Linked DNA regions of Diceros bicornis minor. The protein of the gene in region 2 purifies or fractionates together with the protein of the main gene of each other region. This does not show direct contact. Links are inferred from orthologs where the notes say so. Each region holds a gene or a part of one and is shown on either strand. Other genes may lie near its edges.

Region 1 (8,088 bases), on a different chromosome or scaffold from region 2:
ACAATAACGTAGTTAAATAAGGGAGGATTCTGAAAACCTGTAATTTTTAATTTATCTAACATATATACATATTGAATTCTGAAAACTAAAAAATATTTATTCCTGACAATTCCTCTGGGTTCTAATAGATTACAGACTTGGTGAGATCCCCGATTCTGTTTCAGTAAAAGCAGAATTTCTCTATAAACTCTTATCTTCTGATATCTGATCCACTATAACAGTTTCAGTTCTTATCTTCATATTAAACACTCCCTAATCTATACCTTCAACCACCAATTCTTTAACCTTTGGACTACTTATGGAAAGCTGTCTACAGATGTCTTTGCCTAATTCAGAAACCACCTGAAATTCAATCCACTGAAACCAACTAGAAAAGTGGAGAGAATTTATACAGGCTTAGAGGGATGGGAAAGCTGTATGGTAGCAGAAAGAAGGTATTTTCTTAGAATCATATAGACAGAGCACGAATTCAGGCTCTGTCACTTTACTACTGAGTGACCATGGGCTGATTGCATAAACCTCTCTGAACCTCAGGTTTACTGTCTCTAAAATGAGAAGGAATATCACAATGTGGTCCAGCACACAGTACACAATTAATTAGCATGGACTTGCCCTCCTGCCCTTCCTTTCTAACATGGGAAACTGTCTAGTATCTCTGGCATTTCCATCCTCTCCATTGCCACCACTTTTATCTCACACCTGGAGTACTACAGTAGTTTCTTAACTATTGGCCCTTTTCAATTAGATTCATTCATTCATTCATTCAACAAATAGGTATTGAGTGCCTTACCATGTCAATCATTAGACTCTAAAAAAGACACAGGGTATACAAAGGGAAGGGCATAGAAAAGATGCCCATGATGCTGATCTCTATTTTTGAGGTTTTAGTCTATTACAAACATCCACAATACAACTCTTCTTCAATTCAAATCATTCAGTTAACAAATATTCAGTAAGTAATGTTTTGGAGCATAACGTAGAGGGTCTTAAGTGCAGGATAAAGAATCGGTCCAGTTGGGTCCAGGGGGGCAGTCAATGGGACTTTTAGCTTTATCTGTTTTTTAAAAATTTATCTTAAAAATCAAGAACTGAAACAAACATGGCAAAATGTTATAGATATTAAAATCCGGATGATAGAACAGGGTTCTCATTATGTTATTTTCTGGGACCTTCTGTGATGTTAAAATTCCACACCAAAAGAGAGAGAAAAAATATGACTATGAATACAAATGAGAAACCATTGATGATTTTTGAACATCTGCATTTTGGTGAAAGAGTATTTATTTACAGTCTCACATTATTACACCAAACAAGCTGAGACAGTTAACACAATATAAATACAAATATATGCAGTAAGATGGGAAATATATAATATAAATGCATGAAAATCAGGATGGAAAACAAACTAAAGGGGAAAACAGGTAAAGAAGAAAATTTTTACTACATGTGTAATACAAATTTGGCTATGAGCTTCCTGACAATCAAAGCAAAAAGTGAAAGCTACAGAATCCTCTTTCCCCATAAAGAAAAAGTACATCAGGAACTTGGGAAAAATAAGGCTTTCCATGGCAATCAAGGCAGTGTGGACCATCATATATAAGACAATAAAACTCATACTGAAAAATATTCTCAATAATATCCTTACAATAAATGCAACAGTGAGCTTCCTAGGACTGTTTCTTAGGTTATTCCTCAGGGTAAGCTAAAGACAGGACACTTGGGGTAGATACCAGCTCGGTGCCCACCAAACCCATTTCCTCTTCAATCTGGTTATACAGCTAGACCACAGTTTGCAGCCTTCCTTGCAGTTAGCTATGGCCATATGACTGAATTCAAGGCAATGAAATATGAGCCATTTCCAGGCCCAGTCTATATAAACTTTCTCCACACTCTTTCCCATTTGATAGCTTGAACAGGCAAGCACAGTGACCTTAGATGCTCTATACTGAAGATGGAGAATCCCTAGTTCCTATATCACTGCTTGGCGGAAAACTGCCCGCCAATCAGGCTCCACGCATGAAAGAAATAAAAACTTCAATTGTGCAAAGCCGTTTAGGTTTTGGGGCTTACCTGTTACAGCACCAACTGTTACTCAAAAAAACACAATCCTGCAAGAATCAAATCATATGGTTCAAGTATTCAGTTTTCTAGTCAGTCTTGATTCCAGTTTAAGTCTAAATTGTCTAGGGCACTAGACACGTGGTTATCATGACTGAGGAACTGAGTTTTAAATTTTATTTAATTTTAACCAATTTAAATCTGAATAGCCACATGTGCCTAGTGGCTACTGCACTAGTCAGCACGGTTCTAGAGACACAATTATCCAAGTATACCATATATATGAACCATGGGGTAAGCAAGAAGGGGCAAAGCCACAGAATAAACAGGATATGTTTCCTGGAATATCAATTTTACCTAAAGATAACATGAACCATCATTAGCTACATTACAGAGCAGAATATGAAGGCAATACAGAGTAGGGGTTAAACACCCAGCCTCTGAAGCCAGAGTACCCGAGTTCAAAGCCTGATTTTGCCACTTAAGTAGCTGAAAGACTTTAGGCAAATTATCTAACCTCTCAACGCTTCACTTCTCCCTTCTGTAAAAGGAGGATGATCCAGTGGCTACCACAAGGATTACTGTGAGGATTGAATGAGTTAATATAGATAACAACACACTAAGAACAACGCCCAGCACATAAATCTCATCTTGTGTCTCTGATTGTGTCTCTCCCCAAGCTGACTAAGACACAACGTACACAAGGATTAATACAATCTGGGATAAATGGAAAGTGTCTACCACATGGTAGCTATCCTTATTATCTGAATTCATAATTCACATTACTCCAATGAAACTTTATACTTGCAGAGAGCTAGGGAACACACGGTCACTGCCTTCTGTGAGTATATCAACGGAAACGATTCAGATAAGAAGCAAAGAGAATGGATGGGGCACAAAGATGGAGTAGACACACTTTTCCCTATTTCTCCCACAAAGTACAGCTAAGTACATAAGTCACAGGACAGCCCTCACAACAAAGAATTATGTGGTCCGAAATATCAATAGTGCAGTAGTTGAGAAACTCTGGTTTAAATCAGCCTCCTCTTGGAGCCTTCCCAGGTGGCAATCAATGATCTTTTTGTTCCCTGTACCTATGGTCTCCAACAAAGTTTAAAACAAGGTTATGCATTTCCCCAGTTTTTCCCTAGCATGTTATTTTGCCTCCCGTAAACAGGCCTTGCCTTATGCCATCCAGGCTGCAGTAATAAAATACCACAGTCTGGGTGGCTTTTAAACAACAGAAATCTGTTTCTCACAGATCTAAAGGCTATAAGTCCAAGATCAAGGCATGGGTTCACAGCCCATGCCTTCTGCTCTTTGCCTTCACTTGGTAGAAGGATCAAGGGAGCTCTCTGCAGCCTCTTTCATAAAAGCACTAATCCCATTCCCAAGAGCTCAACCCTCATGACCTAAGCACCTCCCAAAGGCCCCGCCTCCTAATACCATCACACTGGCATTAGGATTCAACATCTGAATTGGAGGCGCACACACATTCAGACCATAGCAGGTCTATAAGATTCTCTGCAGGCAGGACCCATTATTGGCTAATACCATTTCTTCTCTACTGTTCCCTCCTCTTCTCTGTCTGTACAGCACAGTGGTAGGCACAGAGCAACCAATTTATAGGCACTATGCCCACCTCCTTGGTGGGCATGGGAGTCCGTACAAGTTCAGCCAGAGCTGTAGCTCCTTTTTCAAGATGCAGGAACACATGTTTCTTGATGAAGCCTTCCCTTATCTATATAAGCAATTGCTTGTTCCCTCCCTTATGCTGCCACTATTCCTCTCTCCCTCTCTCTCTCCTTCTCTCTCACGCACACACTTCTATTAAAAAACTCAATAAAACTCATCACAACTCTTTGCTCACATGTCTGCCACTCCTTCACCCTGGGAGCAACTTAAACTAGAACTCGGACATATTCTACAGCATTTGAAACAGCTCCTGACACAAAATAGACGATCAGTCAAGATCTGGCCAGAGTCACAACAATAACAGCAACCACCATTTCCAGATCTCCCACGGTGTGCCATAAACCGGTGCCCCCGGGCTTCATTCTCATTGTCGCTAATCCTCACAGCCATTTACATACGAGAAAAGGAAACGGAGGCCCAGAGAGTTTATTTAAACGACACGCCCAAGGCCCTGCTTTTAAAGACAGTCCAAACCAGATTTATTTGGATCAAGAATTCGTCATCTTTTCCCCACACGTTTAGGGCTGAAGGATGGGCAGATGGCGTCTCGGAGAGGGAGGTGAACTGTCCCAGCCTCACTGCTCTGGCGTGAAAAGAACCAGGACCATAACCCAGGTCGACAGACCCCAGGTCAAGGCACCCGCGGAGCGCCCGAGAGGGAGGCGACACCTCCCGCCGCCCTCCCCATCGCCAGCCCCCGCCTCTGCCTTACCTGGCTGCCCGACCTAGCTCCGTCTGGCTGCACCCCGACTCCCCACACCCGGACCCCCACTCCTTCCTTAACTCCCTGCCCCGTCGCTGAAACTGCGAGCGCGGGCTCCGACGTCATCAGCCGTTGCCCGCGAGTGGTCACATGACACCCCGCTCTGCTCTCCTCCCCTGTGGTCATGTGATGGCCCCGGGAGCCAGGGGCGGAAGCCGGGTTCTGGCCGGCTTGCGATCCGGGGCTGGAGGTAGAAGACCCCAGCGGAGAGGGAAGGGTCGGGGACTCCGGCGCTGACTCCGCGCACGATCGCCGGCCCCGCGCGTGCGCCCTGGCGCGGCCCGGGTGACAGGTGAGTCCGGGCGGGGCGCGCGTGCCCCCTCCTTTCACGGCCCCCCTCCCCTCCCCCGTCCCGGGGCTGGGCCGCGCTGGTCCCGCGGGCATCTGCGCGTGGAGTGGGGTCTGGATGGGGGAGCCTGGCGTGGAGGACTGAGGGGCTTCCTGGGGCTGGGGCTGCAGCCCAGCCTCTTCATCTCCACTTAGATGGAAATAATTTTCCACGCCGCTGTGGCGCTTTAGGAAGTGATGTTCAGCTGCTTGACCCGCATCTGAGCCTTCCAAGTTTTCGGAAGCAATGCTGTGTGGACGTCGTTATTCCTCTCTTTACTCGCGAGAAATCGGAGTGGTTAGTGAGCGCTTTTACAGTGTGAGGGACCTGGGTTTGAATTCTAGTTCTGCCATGGGCTGTGAGTTTAGGCAAGTCATTGCTCCTCTCTGCACCTTAATTCCCCCACCTGTGACATGCTGGTGCCAAAGTCCTTTGCATTTCGAAAAAACGTTCCGAGGGTCCAGATTTCACTATGGTCTCACAGTAAAAAGAAAAAAAACACACCTCACAGAGGCCATAATGGAATAGGGTCTCCTGATTCCAAGTGCAGGGAGCTCCCTCCAATGTAGGTAACGGGGGTGAGGGGGTGGGAGAGAGCGGTTTTACTGCCTCTGCCCCCAACAAGGACACTTTCCGGTTTTTCTTCTGTTTTTCCTCATGAATCAGCTGATAGTGATCAGACTCATTTCAGAACTTTTCTGGAAAAGATATGTTGGTCACTTTTATCTTGATCAACAATCATCATATTTTGTTCCTGATAATGGATTTGTGGAGGCCAGTGCTTCCTTCTTTATGGAACTGAGGTTTTATGAAAGGATAAAAATAGACCTATCTTCTTTTGACCTCTGAGTAGGGTAAACAGTGCTTTGTCCTAGGACAACTTATTTCCTTCAGAATTTGGTTCTGTACTCATTGGGTAATTGGTGTGATGATCCCGTGCTGCATTCTTTTTTTTCTTTTTTTTCTTTTTTGTGAGGAAGATCAGCCCTGAGCTAACATCCATGCTAATCCTCCACTTTTTGCTGAGGAAGACTGGCTCTGAGCTAACATTTATTGCCAATCCTCCTCCTTTTTATCCCCAAAGCCCCAGTAGATAGTTGTATGTCATAGTTGCACATCCTTCTAGTTGCTGTATGTGGGATGCGGCCTCAGCATGGCCAGGGAAGCCGTGCGTCCGTGCGCGCCTGGGATCCCAACCCCCGGCCACCAGTAGCGGAGCACGCGCACTTAACCACTAAGCCACTGCCGGGTGCTTCATTCTTGAAAGCATATTGTCCTTTGTCCAGGATTACTTTCCAAACTGAAAACTACAATTCCTTACCAAATTCTTGAAAATAAAGTTATGACCACCTTTCTGGGTACCTTGTAAAAGAAAATTAGGAAATTGAGTTTGGTCTCTGGCTTCATTTTATGCCAAATAGTGATACAGTCTATACTGAGAAAATTGGTCTTTATGAATTTTCTTCGTCCCTAGCACCAAGAGAACCTCTAAGAGGAAGATTTAATATAGCTTCTTCTACAGTGTTTATTTGCACCTCATTTTAGAGTGATTTTTTTAAAGCTCAGCTAAGTCTTAACACCTTCTATGAAGCCACCTACCTCTGAGAGGGCTGCAACATGATTAGGCATCTCTAATGATGGTTCTTAGATTTTGTTCTTTAGGGCCAGTTTTTCAGCCAACAGTGGGGCTGTTTACCAAATACTCTAGTCAGATAATATTTTGGAAGTTGCCTACAATGTAACTCTGGAGTAAGGATTTAAGGATTAAACTAAGAGATGGATACACCAAAGTCTTGACTAATGTCATTATCTCAGGTCTAAGCTTCCCTGACCGTGTGTATGCAGATGCTGAGTACATCTGTCCATCTGTTTGTTGGGAAAGAAAGCAGGTAATGTTGCTTTGCTTTGAGCTGTTTTCTCCATGGCCTCATTGTCTGTCCTATACTGGTGTCCAAAATCTGGTAGCAGTTAGACCTGTTAATCATACCTTACCCTCCTCTCAATTGAGTCTAGGGTTTCATCCCGCTGAGACCTGGGTTGGTTTAGTATTCTTCAGAGGACCTCAGTAGGTGACTCTTTTGCCCATTGTTTATTATTTTTCCCCTTTTCCTCTCTCATTTTCCAAGCCAGACCATATTAGTGCAAAAAAAATGGTATGAAATTATCTGAAATTTAGCCTGTTAGAGATCAATGTGGCTTAACAAGCAAGCATCACAGAGAAAACTAAAAAGAATTGTTAATATTTTATGCCTTAATGTGTCTTATAGGATACCCTCATGAGAGAGAGTTCTAGACAACTGTAGTGGCTTCTCAGTCACAATCAGACCCAACCCCATCCACCTTCCCTGATCTCTGCTTCTATCCCTTGCTCACTCTACAGCAGCCATATCAGCCTCTTTGCTATTCCTTAAGTGCATCTGGCACATGTCGGCCTTTGCACTTACTTGTAACCTCTGCCTGGAATGCCTTTCTCCAAGATCATTATCTATTGTAAAATAACAAACTACCCCAAAACCTAGTGGCTTAATAAACATCTATTATCTTATAGTTTCTGTGGTTAGAAATCAGGGGTATAGCTTAGCTAGGTGCCTTTGGCTCAGGGTCTCTTGAGAGGTTGCAGTCAAGCTGTGAACAGGAGCTGTTCTCTTATCTGAAATCTCAACTGAGGTTTTGGGGATCCATTTTCAAGCTTACTCCAGTGGTTGTTGGCAAGCTTCTCCATCCCTTATCACATGGGCTCCTCCATGGCTCTCTCACAATGTGACAACTTGCTTCCCCCACGACAAACAAGCTAGAGAGGGTGGCCAAGCCAGAAGTCAGTCTTTTTGCAATCTAATCTCAGAGGTGATATCTTTCACATTTGCCGTATTCTGTTCTTTAGAAGGGAGTCAGTAAGTCACACTTAGGGAAGGGGCCTACACAGGGCGTGAATAAGGAGGTGGCAGTCATTGGGGACCGTCTTAGAGGCTACTGACCACACTCAGATACCCTTACTGCTTTCTCCCTCACTTCCTTCTGGTCCCTGCTCAAATATCTTAACAGCAAGGCTTGCACAAACTACTCTATGTAAAATAGCACACACTCCATCCCTTTTTCCTGCTTTTTCTTCACAGCAATTATCACAGCCTGATATATAATATATTTATTATCTCTTTCCCACTCTGAAAAGTGTGTAGGCTTCATGAGAGCAGAAACTTTAGTTTTGTTCACTCTCATATCCTCAGGTCCTAAAACAGCACTTGGC
Region 2 (8,481 bases):
AGCAAAGATATTATTTTAGATTAATTTCTAAAATGCTTTACCATAGGGCATATATGACATTGTACCAGTAGCATAAAACTTTTAAATGTGTTAAACAATAGTAACCTTTGTTCTAAAATGATCAAAACACAAATTAAATTTAGAACCCGACACGATTTGATGTTTGGTATTTAAATTTTTTTTAAAAACAAAAAGAAATATTGTTTTTCCTTTTTCAAATAAGCTGTCAATAAATTAAAAACAAAGAGAAACCCAGAAGAGGGTCCTATTATCAACTGTTTATGGGAGCGTAATGTCACAACAGCATCAACTTTGGATTCAAACTCAGGTTTAAATACCACCTCTGGGGGCCGGCCCCGTGGCTTAGTGGTTGGGTGCTCAGCGCTCCGCTACTGGCGGCCCGGGGTTCGGATCCCGGGCCCACACCGACACACCGCTTCTCCCGCCATGCTAAGGCCACGTCCCACATACAGCAAGCAGAAGGATGTGCAACTGTGACATACAACTATCTACTGGGGCTTTGGAGGGGGGAAAAAAAAAGGAGGAGGATTGGCAATAGATGTTAGCTCAGAGCCGGTCTTCCTCAGCAAAAAGAGGAGGATTAGCATGGATGTTAGCTCAGGGTTGATCTTCCTCACAAAAAAATAAATAAATAAATATCACTTCTGCCACTTCCTACTTAGGTGTCCTCAGGTGAATTACTTTAAGCTTTTGAAACCTTATTTTACTTACCTGTAAATGGTAATAATAAAACCTACCTCAAACGCACAATAAATTAACAAATGTATTGCCTAACTGAGCCAGGCATATACAAAGTATGGTACTACATAAGTCTTAACAGCTTCCCTTCCTTAGATCTGCAACCAATAATGGAAATTCCAAGAGCGTAGAAGTATTAAAAGCTTACTTTTGAAAATTACAAACAAGGTGGCAGAAAGAGTAACATGATTCAAATATTAGTTTAAAAATATCACTTTTAAATCCTATTTCTGATTTCATACCCAACATCCTCCTCCCAAAAGATTAAAAGTACATTTAGATAACTAAAGTGATGAGAGTATTAGAATTTCACCTAACCAGTTACTTGAATGTAACCCAAAAGTTTGGTCAGTATTTTTCTTAAATTACTAAATATAGCAATGAAATCTATCTTTAAAATATCTACAGAATAGTCTTACAAAACTTGAAATAAATAAAAACAAAAACACCAAATTCTTTCAAATTAGAATTTTCATTTATTCACTCTTAAAACACTGTGTTGGGTAAGCTTAGAGAATAAGACACCCCCAGCACTACCACCTTCATGGAGCTTAGTGCCCTGAGAGTGCTGGATAAGGAATCTTGCCATATCATTTTGAAAAAACTTTGCTATTTTAGGCCTTTACAACACATGGCAGCTCTATATTAACTCCCACACTGAGTACTCTCTTCTCAGCTAGATTTCTAGCCACTTGAGCTACTAACCACCACTTAAAAACAGCAGAATATAACAGGACAATCTCTTTAAAAAACTTTTTAGCAGTAGTTAATTTTAAATACGCGTGTGCGAGCCTGCGTACATCTTCAGTTACCAACCTAGGGTTATTCACCAATGTCAAGGCTACAAGGTAACTTTCGTGTATACAGGGATCTGCCTACCAGGGCTGTGGATTATGGAGAATCTTGCTGCTCTCCCCATTTTGTCGTTTTATTATCAATTTCACCAGAAGCAAGGGCAAAAGAAGAAGAAAAAAAAAAAGATTTCCAAAACTGAGACGAGGCTCATTGCTGCACAATCACATTGGGAAGGAGATTGAACATTACACTCCAGTGCAAGAACACAGGATATAAAAACACTTAGGGCAGAGAGTTTCAACTGAAAATATTCTTAGGCTTACATTAGGATTTCTTAAACACTATGATGTGTTTGTGCTCCATACATGGCAGTACTGCTTTGGAACTTCGAAAAACGAACACTGTTAAATTAAGAACGGACACTTCCAAAACTATCTTATTCATAGATAGTTATGAATAAGTTACTTCTGAGTCTGAGAAATGTCAAGGTCCCTTCCAGGAACTACTCAAAATTAGTAGGGTCTACACCCCCTCACTATGGAATAGGGCCTCACAGTAGCCAAAGGAAACGACGAATTAAAGAGAACTAGTTCGATCATCAGATTTCTTGCTTTAAATGCCTGAAAACTTAAGAACTTAAGTCGTTCATCTGGTTCTAATGCTGTCACAGCATCTAAGATACAGTAAAAAGGAGTTGCACAATCTCCCGTCTTCGGAAGAAGTCCCAGCAGGACGATGGGACGCCACCAAATGCCAACCTGAGCAGGAAACAACTACTATGGGGGGGGGGGGTCTTTTGTGAGCAACTCCACTGCCTCCAGGGGAACATGGGAACTGCAAAGCCTACAGCTAAAGCCGAAAAAAAGAAAAGAGGGAAAAAAGAGAGAGAGAGAGAGACTTCCACGGGGAAAGGAAAAAAAGCGTAGAGAACCAAGAAAGGAAGGATTTTGCTTCTGGGAGGAGGGAGTAGAAGGGATAAGTGAAGGTCTGCTTCCTAAGCGATTTTTTCCCCCTACCCCTCACCCCGGCTACACTCGCCCGCCAGGCCGTCGGGCTGGGCACTGCCCTTGGGCCGCTCCCAGGCCGGGACCCAAACCCGTCCGCAGTCCCCAGACGCGGGCGCAACGCCCCGGGGCCCAGGCGGAGGCAGAGGGTCCCCGCAGCCGCCGCCCTCGGCGCCCCCCGCCCCCGCCCGCCGCGCCAGGCGCCGCCGCCCCGCTCTCGCTTCCTATTTTCGGAGCACACACCCTACAAGGAGCGAAGCGAGCAGGCCGGGCAGAGACCTGCCCCCGCGCGGGGCCTGGGGTGACTGACGGGGGCAGGCACTTGGGCGCACCGAGGAGAGGAGGAGGAAAGGCGGGCGAGGGCACAGACCAATGCCCTTCCCCAGGGGCCAGATTCCGAGCTGATACGCCAGGGCTCTGCTCGCTTCCGGACCGACGGGCTCCGCCGCCCCCGCGGCTCTTACCTTCTCCTCATCAGACAACTGCTCCTCCAGATCCGCCATTTTCCTTCTGGCGACAAACCGCGGCGGCGGCGGCGGCGGCGGCGGCACCGGCCACCTGACTTCCCCCTTTCCGTGCAGTCCTTCGCGCCGCGCGCCCCCGCCAAGGGAGGGGCCCACAGCCCAGGCCGCCGCGCACGCGCCCCGGGAGCCCCGCCTCCCTCCGTCTGGCCCGCGGGGCTGGAGCGCGGCTGTGCGCGTGCGCGGGCGCCTCGGAGGCGGGGGAGGAAGAAGGGGCAGAGCGAGGGGGAGTGGGGAGGGGGCAGGGCGGAGGAGTCGCCTCCGGCAGCCTGCTGGAGGCCTGTCATCCTCCTGAGTAATATAGGATTCTTTCCCCACCAGTGACCATATGGACCCAGTCGGCAACGAGTACATTCTGAGCCCTTGATTATGTTCCCATCAAGTCCTGAACTCTGCCAGCTAAAATGTGAAAAAGTGTACAAATAGAAGCTTTTTAAACATTCTGGTTTTAAAAAAATTACTAGAAGAATATTCAGCTTTCATTAAAATATGCACTCCAACCCAGTCCATAATTGGAAGATCGTTCTGGGTATATTCATTTATTCATTGGAGAAGTATTTGTTGGTCATTTATTGTGTGTCTCTGGAGATATACAATGCTAAGCAAAAACCGGAGAAACCTCAGTTCTTAAGCTGGTTGTCTATTCCTTAAACAAACATATATCGAGCAGTTGGGGAAGGCACAGTACGATTGCAGGGAAATACAAAATTATGTTAGACATGGATCCTACCCTTCTGAATAGGGTTGACAGATTAAATACAGGAAGTCCAGTAAAATTTGAATTTCAAATAAACAATATATATTTTAAGTATAAGTATGTCCCATGAAGCACTTGAGAGATACTAAAAAATTATTCATTGTTCTCAGTTTTTATTGGATATCTACTGCTTTTATTTGCTGTATCTGAAAGCTTCTGAAGCTTCAAGTTTAGCAAGAGAGTGAAGATGTAGTCAAAACTGTATATATGAATTGGCTAGGAATATTTTTAAAATGCAGTTGCTGGCGCCTGCCGTGGCTTCACGGTTAAGTGCTCGCGCTCTGCTACTGGCGGCCTGGGTTCGGATCCTGGGCGGGCACCGACGCACTGCTTCTCTGGCCACGTTGAGGCGGCATCCCACATACAGCAACTAGAAGGATGTGCAACTATGACATACAACTATCTACTAGGGCTTTGGGGAGAATAAGGGGAAAAAGAAAAAAGGAGGAGGATTGGCAATAGATGTTAGCTCAGGGCCGGTCTTCCTCAGCAAAAAAAAGAGGAGGATTGGCATGGATGTTAGCTCAGGGCTGATCTTCCTCACACACAAAAAAATGCAGTTGCTGATTCAGTAGGTCTGGGATGGGGCTGGAGAATCTGCATTTATCAGATTTACAAGCTCCCAGGTGATGCCAATGCTACTGGTCTGGAGACCACACTTTGAGTAGCAAGGCCTTAGAGTTTAGATAGAAGTTAAGACTTTAATCATTATGTTGTATACCCAAAACTAATACAATATTATATGTCAATTATATCTCAATAAAAATATATATATATTAAAAAAAGACTTTATTCAGTAGAAAATGAGAAGCTGTTGACAACTTTTGAACAGTGACAAATATGTCTAGCAAGATGAATCTGACAACTGCATGTAAATGACACTTGTGAGAGTACCTTAGAGAGCTGAAATAACTATTCATATGCAAAACACTGTTATTAAGTAATTTACTGAGTGTTCATGGTGTGCAAATCATTGTTTCTTCTGCATGGAATGCAAACAGAAGCCATGCTATTGAAAAGCTCATAGTCCATTTGGGGAGACAACAGAAAGGGGAAGCTTGCTGACACATGCAGGGAAAAGCAGGTGTCCTGTTGAGGATAAATGGTACAGAGAAGACGTGACAGAGAATAAACCATACAGTTTGGCCAAGGACCTCACTGGATGTAAATAAATAACTTGTTTACTCTTTTACAGTTTACAAGTCATTACTTCATTGATTTCTCACTGCAACCTCGTGAAGTAAGGTATTTATCGGCATTACTATACCCATTTTACAGGAGCCAAACTGAGGTTAAATATTTGTCCAAGATTGCGCAGCTCCTAATTAACTGAGTAGAGATTGGAATCCAGGCATTTTATTCTATATCTCTTGTCCTTTTTACTTGGAGATCTTTCTTTCTCCCTATCTAAATTCTAGGCGCTCTCCCACCAAATAAAACTGAATGATGGGCCGGCCCCATGGCTTAGCGGTTAAGTGCACGCGCTCCGCTGCTGGCGGCCCAGGTTCGGATCCTGGGCGCGCACTGACACACCGCTTCTCCAGCCATGCTGAGGCTGCGTCCCACATACAGCAACTAGAAGGATGTGCAGCTATGACATACAACTATCTACTGGGGCTTTGGGGGGGAAAAAAAATTAAAAAAAAAAAAAATTAATGAGGGTGATTTCTCTTCCATCCCATCAGTTCTACTCACCACCACCTCTTGCATCAACAGTACTCCCTTTTTTTCTTCTTCTGTTTTTTGATTTCTGTTTACTCAGCAACACGAACATCAATAATTTGTACACAGTGGGTACTCAGTAAATGTTGTTGCTTGACTAATTGGCTGCTGTCTTCTTCTAGAAACCTCACCCAAATATGGTATGTTTGCAGTAAGTTGAGTCAGACTATGTTTATAATCGTAACCTTGGTGATACTTTACATGTGGTTCCCCATGGTGACACAACTAGCAATTTTGTATAATTTCTGATAATCATTTCAAAAACCTCCCAATGCCACTTTCTTGATACAGTTCAAAGAAATTATAGAATTCACGTAACCTAGGAATTCTGGGAAGATTTCAAGCTGTCACGCGAAATGGGTATAAATATGGAATGACCATTATATGACTGCAATTAGAAATGTATTGGTATTCTTGATAATCAGTTGTTTTATGATGAAGAGAAAAGAAACAAAATATGCTTCTCACACACAACTCTACCTCCTCAATGAGAATTTCTACCCTTTTCTCATTTAATTCCCAAGTTCACCTATTTTTGGGGGGTGGGGTGGTGAGGATGATTAACACTGAGCTAACATCTGTTGCCAATCCTCCTCTTTTTCCTGAGGAAGATTGGCTCTGGGCTAACATCCGTGCCCATCTTCCTCTACTTTATTGGTTACTTATATGTGGAACGCCTGCCACAGCATGGCTTGATAAGCGGTGGGTAGTTCTGCACCTGGGATCCGAACTTGTGAAACCTGGGCCGCCGAAGAAGAACGCTCGAACTTAACCACTATGCCACCAGGCCGGCCCCACAAATTCACCTTTCTTATGCTTACTAGTGATGTAATCTTGGCTTTTCCAATTAACTGCACCAGAAAATGATTTTTTTTTAAAGTTCTTCTTTTTGTAGTATTTAAGTTACTTGTATACTTCTTAATCTATTTTCCTATGGATGTGCTCTATGTCCTTAACTAGATTTTAGTCTTGTCAAGGTCAGAGGTACCTAATTTCATAGAATCACAATCTTAGAGTCCATCTAGTACAATCTCCTCATTTTACAAGTAAGTTGAGCCTTAGATAAATTAAATGATTTGATAAAAATTGCACATCTAGCTGATATTATTTTAGAACCCAAGTGTCCCTATGGTCAGATTCATGTTCTTTCCATTATTTTATACATATATATATTAATTATATAATGTATAATAAGATAAATATTCAGTACATATGACTGACCACTAAATGTTTACACCAGATGTAGACTTCCAAAACACCATATCATTTAATCTCTGCACTGGAAAACTAATATCTGTAGTTTGAAGTGTGGCTTACCTCACTTCTAAGAAAAACTACCTGTGTTAGACAACTAATATTTTGTTGTTTGTTAGTGTCTCATAATCAATGAACACAATAGGTCTCAAATAATATTCTTTATGACAGTAAAAAAGTGTCAGAAACCATGCATATTTTTAAAGTAATTGTTTTTCTAAATCAAATAATTGCCTAAACTATTGGTTACTTGTAGTTGAGTGTGTCCTACCTGTAGTCTGTTTCCTTAGCTGGATTTGAAAAGGTCCACAAAGTGGCACCCCTGGAGAAGCCTGACATGGATCATTCTACAACTACCAAGAAATTATTGAAGAAACTTGTTTTTCAGTAACTCCTCTCTCCTGAATATGCTGTCCTTCATAATTTGGTTGCTACCAACCTCATCAAAACCCATCTCTGCCACTGCCCCAAATGCACATGTCACTGAAACACACAAAGCAACTTACCTATGCATCACCGTCTCTCATGCCTCTGTGGCAGCTCTTTCTGAAATGTTCTTTGCTGCCTATTTTTTAAAATTCAGTTCAGTTATCCCTTTTTCCACGCAACCTGCATTGAACCCTCTAGTTAAAGCTAGTAATTTCTTCTTCTAGATTCCCATAGAAAGTTTTCCATGTATTTTAGCCACGTACCTTAGTGGTGAAGTGTACAGATTTTATAATCAGTAAGTCCTGGGTCTTGATCTTGGTTCCAGCTCTAGGTAACTTGGGCAACTTGCTCTGGAAACTTCGGTTTCTTCATCTATACATTGGGGATAATAATGGTACCTCCCTCATAGGACTGTTGTGAGGATTTAATGACATGGTGCAGACAAAGTGCTTAGAACTCATTGCAGGCCTTGGCAAAGGTCTCAACAAATGTTAGCTGTAATCATCATATTATAATACTAATCTGCTCTGTGAGGATGTGACCTAAGTTTCAGTTAGTTATCTGACAAATACAGAGACTGGCACATAAGTGCTTTAAAAAGCTTTGCTGGAATCCAGATTGATTGAATGACTCTTTCATTTCATATCCCTAAACAGAAGCTGAAAAATTAAGCTAGCCACCCATATGGGGTTTAGAGATTGCCCTAAAATGTGGTTCTGGGACTCCAGAACCGGGGAGCAAACACTTTTCCCAGCAACCCCCAAATCATACAAATACTCCTGCTGTTTACTACTCTATATTCAATCACCACTTAAATATCTGTCTCTCTAATTGATTTCGTGCTCTTTAATTTCTCTGTCACTTCAGCTTTTTCACACAATGTCCCAAATGAAGAACAGGGCATGACGAACACCCAAGGTGATCCTTAATGGTGAAGCAAGGAAATACTAAAGCTTCTACTTATTTCCATTTACTTATTTGAATTATTATTACAAAATATGTCAGATACACAAAAAAGCATAGTTTACCCCTTCCAGACCCCATTCCCTTTTCTTCTTCCCATGGGTAACCATCAACCCGAATCTGTTCATCATTCCCATGCACGTTGGTTTGATACTGGCTCAACACAAGGTTGACATAAAGGAAGCCATATTGTAGAGAAGAAACCATACTATAACTTTGACCTCTGACTAATTAACCCAACTGGATATGCGACCTGTAGGAGATATACATGCTCTGT
Region 3 (7,416 bases), on a different chromosome or scaffold from region 2:
TCAGTACTCTTTTCTCAAATCTCTCCGAACTTTACCTGACCCACTTTTCTAGTCTTGTCTCCTGCCACTCCCTTCCATGCCCAACGCTCCTGCCTCCTCAGGACACCAGCTTTCATGCTTGCCATACCTTTGCTCACTCTGTTCCCTACTTCTGGGATCCCCTCTCCAACCACCCATCCTTTAAGATTCGGCTCAAATACGTCCTCTGTGAGTTTCCTCCTTATCTTTCCTCATTCTGTCATTCTTCTCCAGAATAATCACTCCTTCCTCTGAGTTCCCATAGCACGCTGACCTATCATAGCATACTTGACATTCTGCCTTGTCTTTCTTCTTCACTAGACTGTGAGTTCTTCATTTTTATATTCACCAGCAACTTCACAGTGCCTGGTATAAAGAGCTGGAGCAGGGCAAAAGGAGAGCATACAGAAGACATGTGCCACCCTCCCATGTTCAGTGATTCCCCAGGTGACCACAAGCCTCCCCGTATCCCAACTGCCTGCCCCAATGACCCCAAGGAAAAAATCAGTTACTGCTAGAAATGGGACACGACATGAAACACGACAGTACATGGAATCAGCTAGTGAACTGTAGAACATAAATCATAATGCAGTCATTCTGCAACAATGTAAAAATGCCACATTCTTTTCTCAAACTAGAAACTACAACAAAAGTGATGAATACTTTGCCATTCAAGTGATCTGTACTCCCCCAGCCTTCATTATTTTCATGCTATGCCCACAGTGCCCAGCACGCGGTGTGTACTCAATACATGCCTGCTGACATGAGATAAACTGGGTTTATGATGACTCAGGCTGGATGGGATGTGGATGGTCACGGCACTTTCCATTAAACTTCACACCACAGGACAGAGGTACTTATTTTGGTCTACTCGAAGGTGACCATTCAGAGATTGCTATCTTGCTTTGTTTCTCTGTACCCAGGATCAACACTGGTTGTTTGTAACAGACAAAAAGCATAGAAAAATGATAATCTGGAAATATTTTTATAAGCCACCATTGTGGAAGTAATTACATATCTTCTTTCAACCTCCACATTATCCCTACTAAAAGGATAAATTCATGCACATTACTAGCTAGTACAGGTGATGAGATTAATTGAAGTGTCAGAGGTTGCCTGACAAAGTCATTGTTCACTAGTTGTCACTGAGTCACTGAAAACAAACTGATAGTGACTTAGAACTCCGTGAGGGCCAAAAAGAAAGACTAGATCCGAAGCTGCATAAAGTAAACATCTTTAAGATGTTAATTTGAGCTGCCTATGTTGATCAAGAAAACAAAAATCTTAACTAAAAATAACAGAAGACAAATTTCGTCCTGAGGTTTTCTTCTTTTATATCTTTGCCAAGTAAAGACCATTATGCTCACAAAACTGACGGGAAGCCCACACTCTGGGGCCACAGCTTTTGCGCCAGCCAATCCTGGCTACTTCCTCCTCAACTGGAACGTCAGGAGCATCCATGGTTAAGAGAGAGTAAGTAACAGCCCATAATAAGCTCTTTCTTCACAACACAGGCTAAGAATCTCTCTTCACTTCAGTTCTCCTCCTTCCAAAAGGGATACAGCCTGAAAACCTTGCTGCTTTGTCCATCAAGGTTCATTCAAAACTGTCTGAAACCTTCTCTGTAATAAGAAATATATATTGAAGTACCCACTTCAATGAGCATCATATCTTATTTATCTCATAGTTACAACTGTTAACGTCTAATATTTTACGTCTAATATTTTAATGTGCTTTTCTCAGAACTAAATAAAGTTGTAGGGCCTCTGACCTATATAGGAAGGTAAAACTGAGCCTAAATATCAACATAGCAAACAAAACAAAGTCCCCCTCTTATAGATGTGGGCACGTGTGTATATACACACACACACACACACACACACACACTCACTACTGACATAACACCTAATATGCAATGACTCCGGCACAGATCTTGCAACATAATGATAATTGCCGTGCACTAAATGGTCCTCTAATGGTTCAAAGAGTTCCTATCTTCTTGAGTACCTAACCTATTAGCAGGGAGAGATTACAGGCAATGGAAAGAACTCAGCTCAGTTACTTAACCTCTGAACCTTAGTCTTCTCATCTGTAAAATGAGGGTTTGCTCTAGAACAGTGCTGCCCAATAGAAATATATTGCAAGCCATAAATGCAAGCCACATATGTAGTTTTTAATTTTCTAGTAGGCACATTTAAAAAAGTAAAAAGAAACATAAAATTGTAATAACATTTTACTCAATCTAACATAGCTAAAACATTGTATCAACATGTAATCAATATTAAAAAATTATTACTGGTGTATTTTACATTCTTTTTTCATACCAAGTGTTTGAAATCCAGTGTGTATTTTAAACTTACAGCACATCTCAATTTGGGCGATAGCCACATGGGACCAGTGGCTACCGTCTAGATGATCTCTGACATTTCTCCTGATATTATAAGTAATTTTAATAAAGGGAATAAGAGATTTGTAGATCAAAGTGTACTTAGAAAAACTATACAGTGTTTCCCTAGATCTTGCCAGTCTATTTATTCTCATTCAAAATGGTGTTTTGCTTTTTTTAACTTTTATTTTGTAATTCAGTGGAGTTGGGTCTATAAACAACTGAGTTAGGAGATGTGATCTACTACTTTCAGACACTTACCCTGACCACGCTACCACAGTCGCTGTCCTACACACCTAGAGGGAAGTTCAGAACATTCAGGACAATGTGTAACTGCTGAATGAATGAGACATCTGAAAACTCATAGCTAGAAAAAACAACCGTTAAAATGAGAGTTCAACAGAAACGACAAAGAAAATTATGTGACAATCATGTTATCTTCCACATATCAAGATAATGCTATGAAACACAAATTTGCACATGCTTTTGGAACTGTTTCTCTAATTACTCAACATCCACTGAGAACGATTCCTGCTGCTCCTCACACACTGTCTTGCTTATTAGTCCCTTTGTGATCAATGATCTGCCTTCGCCAGATGGCTGGTCTGGGTTAAGAGTACAATATGAGATCAGAGAACAAAGCAAAGCTAACTGGCCTTCACAGGAATTGAACCTGTGACCCTGACCTCATTAACTCTAGAAAACAGTTAACCCATCACAACCATGCCCAGGCAGCTGCATCATAAACAGTACCAAGAAAGCCCACTGGGTCTGTCACAATGATACTCTCATAGAGAAAAAAAATCACTCTAAATTTATTAAGAGAACTTTTCAAAATGAAGAAATTCATCAGCAGTGTCTTACCAGCTCTGCTGAATCTGTCACAAACCTCCCTAAGAACATCAGCGGTGGCCCCACCTGAGACGATAAATGGCTTTGACAATGGGGTTCTGATGTTTCCTCTTCCAAAAACAGTGATCTTGGGACCATGGACTTTTTATTTCTCCCAAGTGAGGAAACTGTGGGTTAAAAATTACATACAAGAATTTTCACAAATTATTTATTGAATCCAGCTTATCCTAGATTTAAATAATAACCAAGTTTCTCTGTTGCTCCCCCTCCCTGCCTGCTCCCCTTCACCCTCTTAGTGCCAGCCAATCCCTCACCAGGTGAGTGGGCTGAAGCCAGTGGACTCCTGGGTGAGCTATTCCTACCTTCCCTGATAAAAAGCCCAACGCCTTTTCAGCAAGTTGTCCTTTCTTTCTTGTTACTGCAATAATTCCTCTTAGCAGCTACTATTTGCTCTTAAATTCTTTTTTTGTGTGTGTGAGGAGATCAGCCCTGTGCTAACATCTGCCAATCCTCTTTTTTTTTTGCTGAAGAAGACTGGCCCTGGGCCAACATCCGTGCCCCTCTTCCTCCACTTTATATGGGACGCCACCACAGCATGGCTTGACAAGCAGTGCGTCAGTGCGTGCCCGGGATCCAAACCGGCGAACCCCGGGCCGCCGCAGCGGAGTGCACACACTTAACCACTTGCGCCACTGGGCTGGCCCCTGCTCTTAAATTCTGTTCTAACCACCTGTCTCTACTGAACTGAGTACTTACTTCTGATTTAAATATTTCCCAAAGTCTTTCAGGGATGCACTTTGTGTATCTTTTCTTCAAACACTTAATATTTAATATAGCACCAATTTCAGAAGCAAGGTTATTGAAATACCACTTAAGTCTCAAAGTACATTAACTGAAAAAATTCCACAAACATCCAGAAGAGCTGGTGAAGACTTAAATTTGTGTGTGTGTGTGTGTGAGGAAGATAGGCCCTGAGCTAACTGAGCTAACATCAGTCTTTCCTCCACTTTGTATGTGGGTCGCTGCCACAGCATGGCCTGACAAGTGGTACAGGTCCACACCTGGGATCTGAACCTGTAAGCCCAGGCCGCCAAAGCAGAGCATGCCGAACTTAACCACTGTGCCACCAGGCCAGCCCCTAAGATTTGAAAAGTTGATTGAAAATATTTCTGCTTTTCATTTTTGACATTTTAAATGGAATCACCTTTCCACATACAAACTTACAGGAATATAAAAGCTATTACATACGGTTGTTCTATGTGGCTTCTTAAATATTTCTGATAACGTGACTAATTATAAGGCACTCAACAACTCAAAGTTTTTTACTTAGTTTTTTTATTTCCACAGTTACTTAAGATAATTTTTTTATTTATGGATTAAGAGTTTGTAATCTTGCACTTCTCACACATCTGTAGAAATCATACATATATGTAAACCTAAAATATGCATATGTATCTGCCTCAAAGCCACTAGCACAAGTAAATATCAATTGATTTTGCCCTTCTGATCTCTAAGAGTTTTCACATCAACAATAAAAGTAGTACAAAATGTAATGGTAACCAAGGTTAGTATCTGCCTGAACATACAAATTACAGTGACCATTTAATAGCTGGAACGCTTATTGATGCTACAAAAACTATACCAATTCATGAAGGGTCAGGTGTTAGACAAAAGAAATAAATTAATAAAATAAGCATAAAAAGTAAGCTTACTACATTTGTACATATTTCATTAGGGGCAAAATAATTTTTTGAGGGCTAACCTAAGGATGAAATCTGATATTCAACAATAAATGAAACAGGGCCAGCCCGGTGGCTTAGCGGTTAAGTGCGCATGCTCCGCTACTGGCGGCCCGGGGTTCGGATCCCGGGCACACACCAATGTACCGCTTCTCCGGCCATGCTGAGGCTGCGTCCCACATACAGCAGCTAGAGGGATGTGCAACTATGACATACAACTATCTACTGGGGCTTTGGGGGAAAGAAAAAAGGAGGAGGATTGGCAATAGATATTAGCTCAGAGCCGGTCTTCCTCACACACACACAAAAAAAAACAATAAATGAAACAATATATTTAAGTTCATCTAATCTTAATAGGAAACAATGACCGATGAAGAGAAACATGGATTTACAAACTACATAAACAAACCATGAAACTGCTGTTCTTTGTCTAATATATCATGATCTACATAAACTCTGATTTTAAGATGATCACTTTTGAAAAGACTAACCTTAATTCAACAAATAAACTGTTTAAACCTACGGCTAAAAGTTTAAAGCTCCATGTACACAGAAGCTATCTATAATGCAAACACAGGAGCATATTTATATATCTTTAAGCACCTGGAATCATCTTATTTATAAGGTAACTCCTACATGTCGACAGCAATACACAAATCAAATCTAGGATCAAATAAAGGATCTGAATCTATAAGATATAATTGTGAAAGAAACAGTGAAATTTGCCTTTCCATTGTCATTTAAAATCATCTATTTGTGTATTCTAAGTATCATTTATAAACTGCATTTCCTTAAAATATTCTTTGTCTTTCTTTTTTTTTTTAATTTAATTTATTTATTTATTTTTCCCCCAAAGCCCCAGTAGATAGTTGTATGTCATAGTTGCACATCCTTCTAGTTGCTGTATGTGGGACGCGGCCTCAGCATGGCCGGAGAAGCGGTGCATCGGTGCGCACCTGGGATCCAAACCCAGGCCGCCAGCATCGGAGTGCGAGCACTTAACCACTAAGCCACGGGGCCAGCCCTCTTTAAGGTTTTCTGATAATATTTTTAAAAAAGGAAGGAAGTTCCAGAAGTACCAAAAAATTAAAGTTAAAATACTGCTAAAAATTTAAGAAACATTTGCAAAAAACTGAAACACACACAAAAAAATTAACAGGACAGTTAGTGGTAGTTTCTTACAAGTAGTTTACAAAATAAATACTTTTACTGCCTGGTGATGCTGAGGCAAATCAATATACTATTAAGTACTCTTTGTAGCTCTTAAGTCTTCATTTTGTGCCTTAACAAAAGCTGACATTCATTTGTAATGAAGTCCTTTTATCGTTACACAGCTATTTCATGTCTCTTCTGAAGCTATATTAAACCTTTGGATGTTCAATAAAACTAACCAATTAATTGACTCTATCATAAAAACCTGAGAAGCTATTCCAAACTATTTATATCAAAGATCAGCCAAAGTCAAAATGAATTACTAGTCTACTCAGTATGCTTTCTTACTTTACTAAGTTGAAAATTTTCTTTAAATGGGTCCTGAAAGGAAACTACAGGAGATGTACTACAATGGGTAATTTTCAATATTGCCATTCAAATTTATGTAAAAGAAAACTGATACACCTTCAGAAATCACTGTGAGAGAACATCAGAACGGAGTGTGGGGGAGAGCAGAGAGATCTGGGGTCAAACAGAACTCAGTCTGAATTCTTGCTTCATCTCTCACTAACTTTATGACATTGAGCAAGTTAATAAAACCTGTTTGAGTCTTAACTTCAATTATCAAATGGAAACACAAGGCCAAATTACAGGCTGTTGTGAGCACTAAATTAGATAACATATATAAACAGACTGTTTAGCACAGTACCTAGACCATAATAAATACTAAATGACTGTAATTACTAAGAGATGTTTAAGAACCTATTTTCAATGTAATTTAATATTCAAACTCCAACTGATGTTGTAAATCATTAGAAGGAATAATATAAAGATTCAATAACAAATTTTTCTTTAATGCACTTAATCCTATCATCCTTTACATTAGTGCTTTTCAAACTGCAGGTCCTGACCCATTAATAGGATGTGAAATCATTTAGTGGATCTCAACGAGCATTTCTAAATAAAATAGAATAAAAAATATAAGAATGCATTACACATGGGAAGTCTAAACATTGATTCATGAATTACTTTAAAACTTAAACATATTTGTAATGTATACTGGATGACAATGTAAAACATCTCTTACTGTGCAAAAAAAAAAATTTAAAAGTCACTGCTTCACATTATAATAATGAGAATTAAAATAATCAGCTGGCACTGAATGCTTAGTTTGTGCTAGACACTGTGCTAAGCACATACATTATTTCATCTGACCCTCCCCCAAATCCTATACGGTAGTTCTATTACTTCTGCCATTTCACAGATGAG

Evidence for each region. The genes of interacting proteins can lie anywhere in the genome.
Region 1: the proteins of CAPZA2 (region 2) and WASHC5 purify together in Homo sapiens (affinity purification with mass spectrometry; 3 studies listed by BioGRID and IntAct, counting the BioPlex papers as one, with this or other methods). This does not show direct contact. The link is inferred for Diceros bicornis minor from reciprocal best matches to the Homo sapiens genes CAPZA2 and WASHC5.
Region 3: the proteins of CAPZA2 (region 2) and CRACD purify together in Homo sapiens (affinity purification with mass spectrometry; 3 studies listed by BioGRID and IntAct, counting the BioPlex papers as one, with this or other methods). This does not show direct contact. The link is inferred for Diceros bicornis minor from reciprocal best matches to the Homo sapiens genes CAPZA2 and CRACD.

Annotation. Positions count from the first base shown.
Region 1 is NC_080760.1:40,396,032-40,404,119, reverse strand, and holds the start of WASHC5 (WASH complex subunit 5), read left to right. Parts: upstream 1-4,672; 5' UTR 4,673-4,808; intron 4,809-6,659; 5' UTR 6,660-6,733; intron 6,734-8,088. UniProt on the Homo sapiens protein: Acts as a component of the WASH core complex that functions as a nucleation-promoting factor (NPF) at the surface of endosomes, where it recruits and activates the Arp2/3 complex to induce actin polymerization, playing a key role in the fission of tubules that serve as transport intermediates during endosome sorting.
Region 2 is NC_080742.1:67,795,722-67,804,202, reverse strand, and holds the start of CAPZA2 (F-actin-capping protein subunit alpha-2), read right to left. Parts: upstream 3,176-8,481; 5' UTR 3,062-3,175; coding exon 3,023-3,061; intron 2,864-3,022; exon of another isoform or gene 2,600-2,863; intron 1-2,599. UniProt on the Homo sapiens protein: F-actin-capping proteins bind in a Ca(2+)-independent manner to the fast growing ends of actin filaments (barbed end) thereby blocking the exchange of subunits at these ends.
Region 3 is NC_080747.1:43,716,322-43,723,737, reverse strand, and holds the start of CRACD (capping protein-inhibiting regulator of actin dynamics), read right to left. Parts: upstream 3,417-7,416; 5' UTR 3,269-3,416; intron 1-3,268. UniProt on the Homo sapiens protein: Involved in epithelial cell integrity by acting on the maintenance of the actin cytoskeleton. Positively regulates the actin polymerization, by inhibiting the interaction of actin-capping proteins with actin.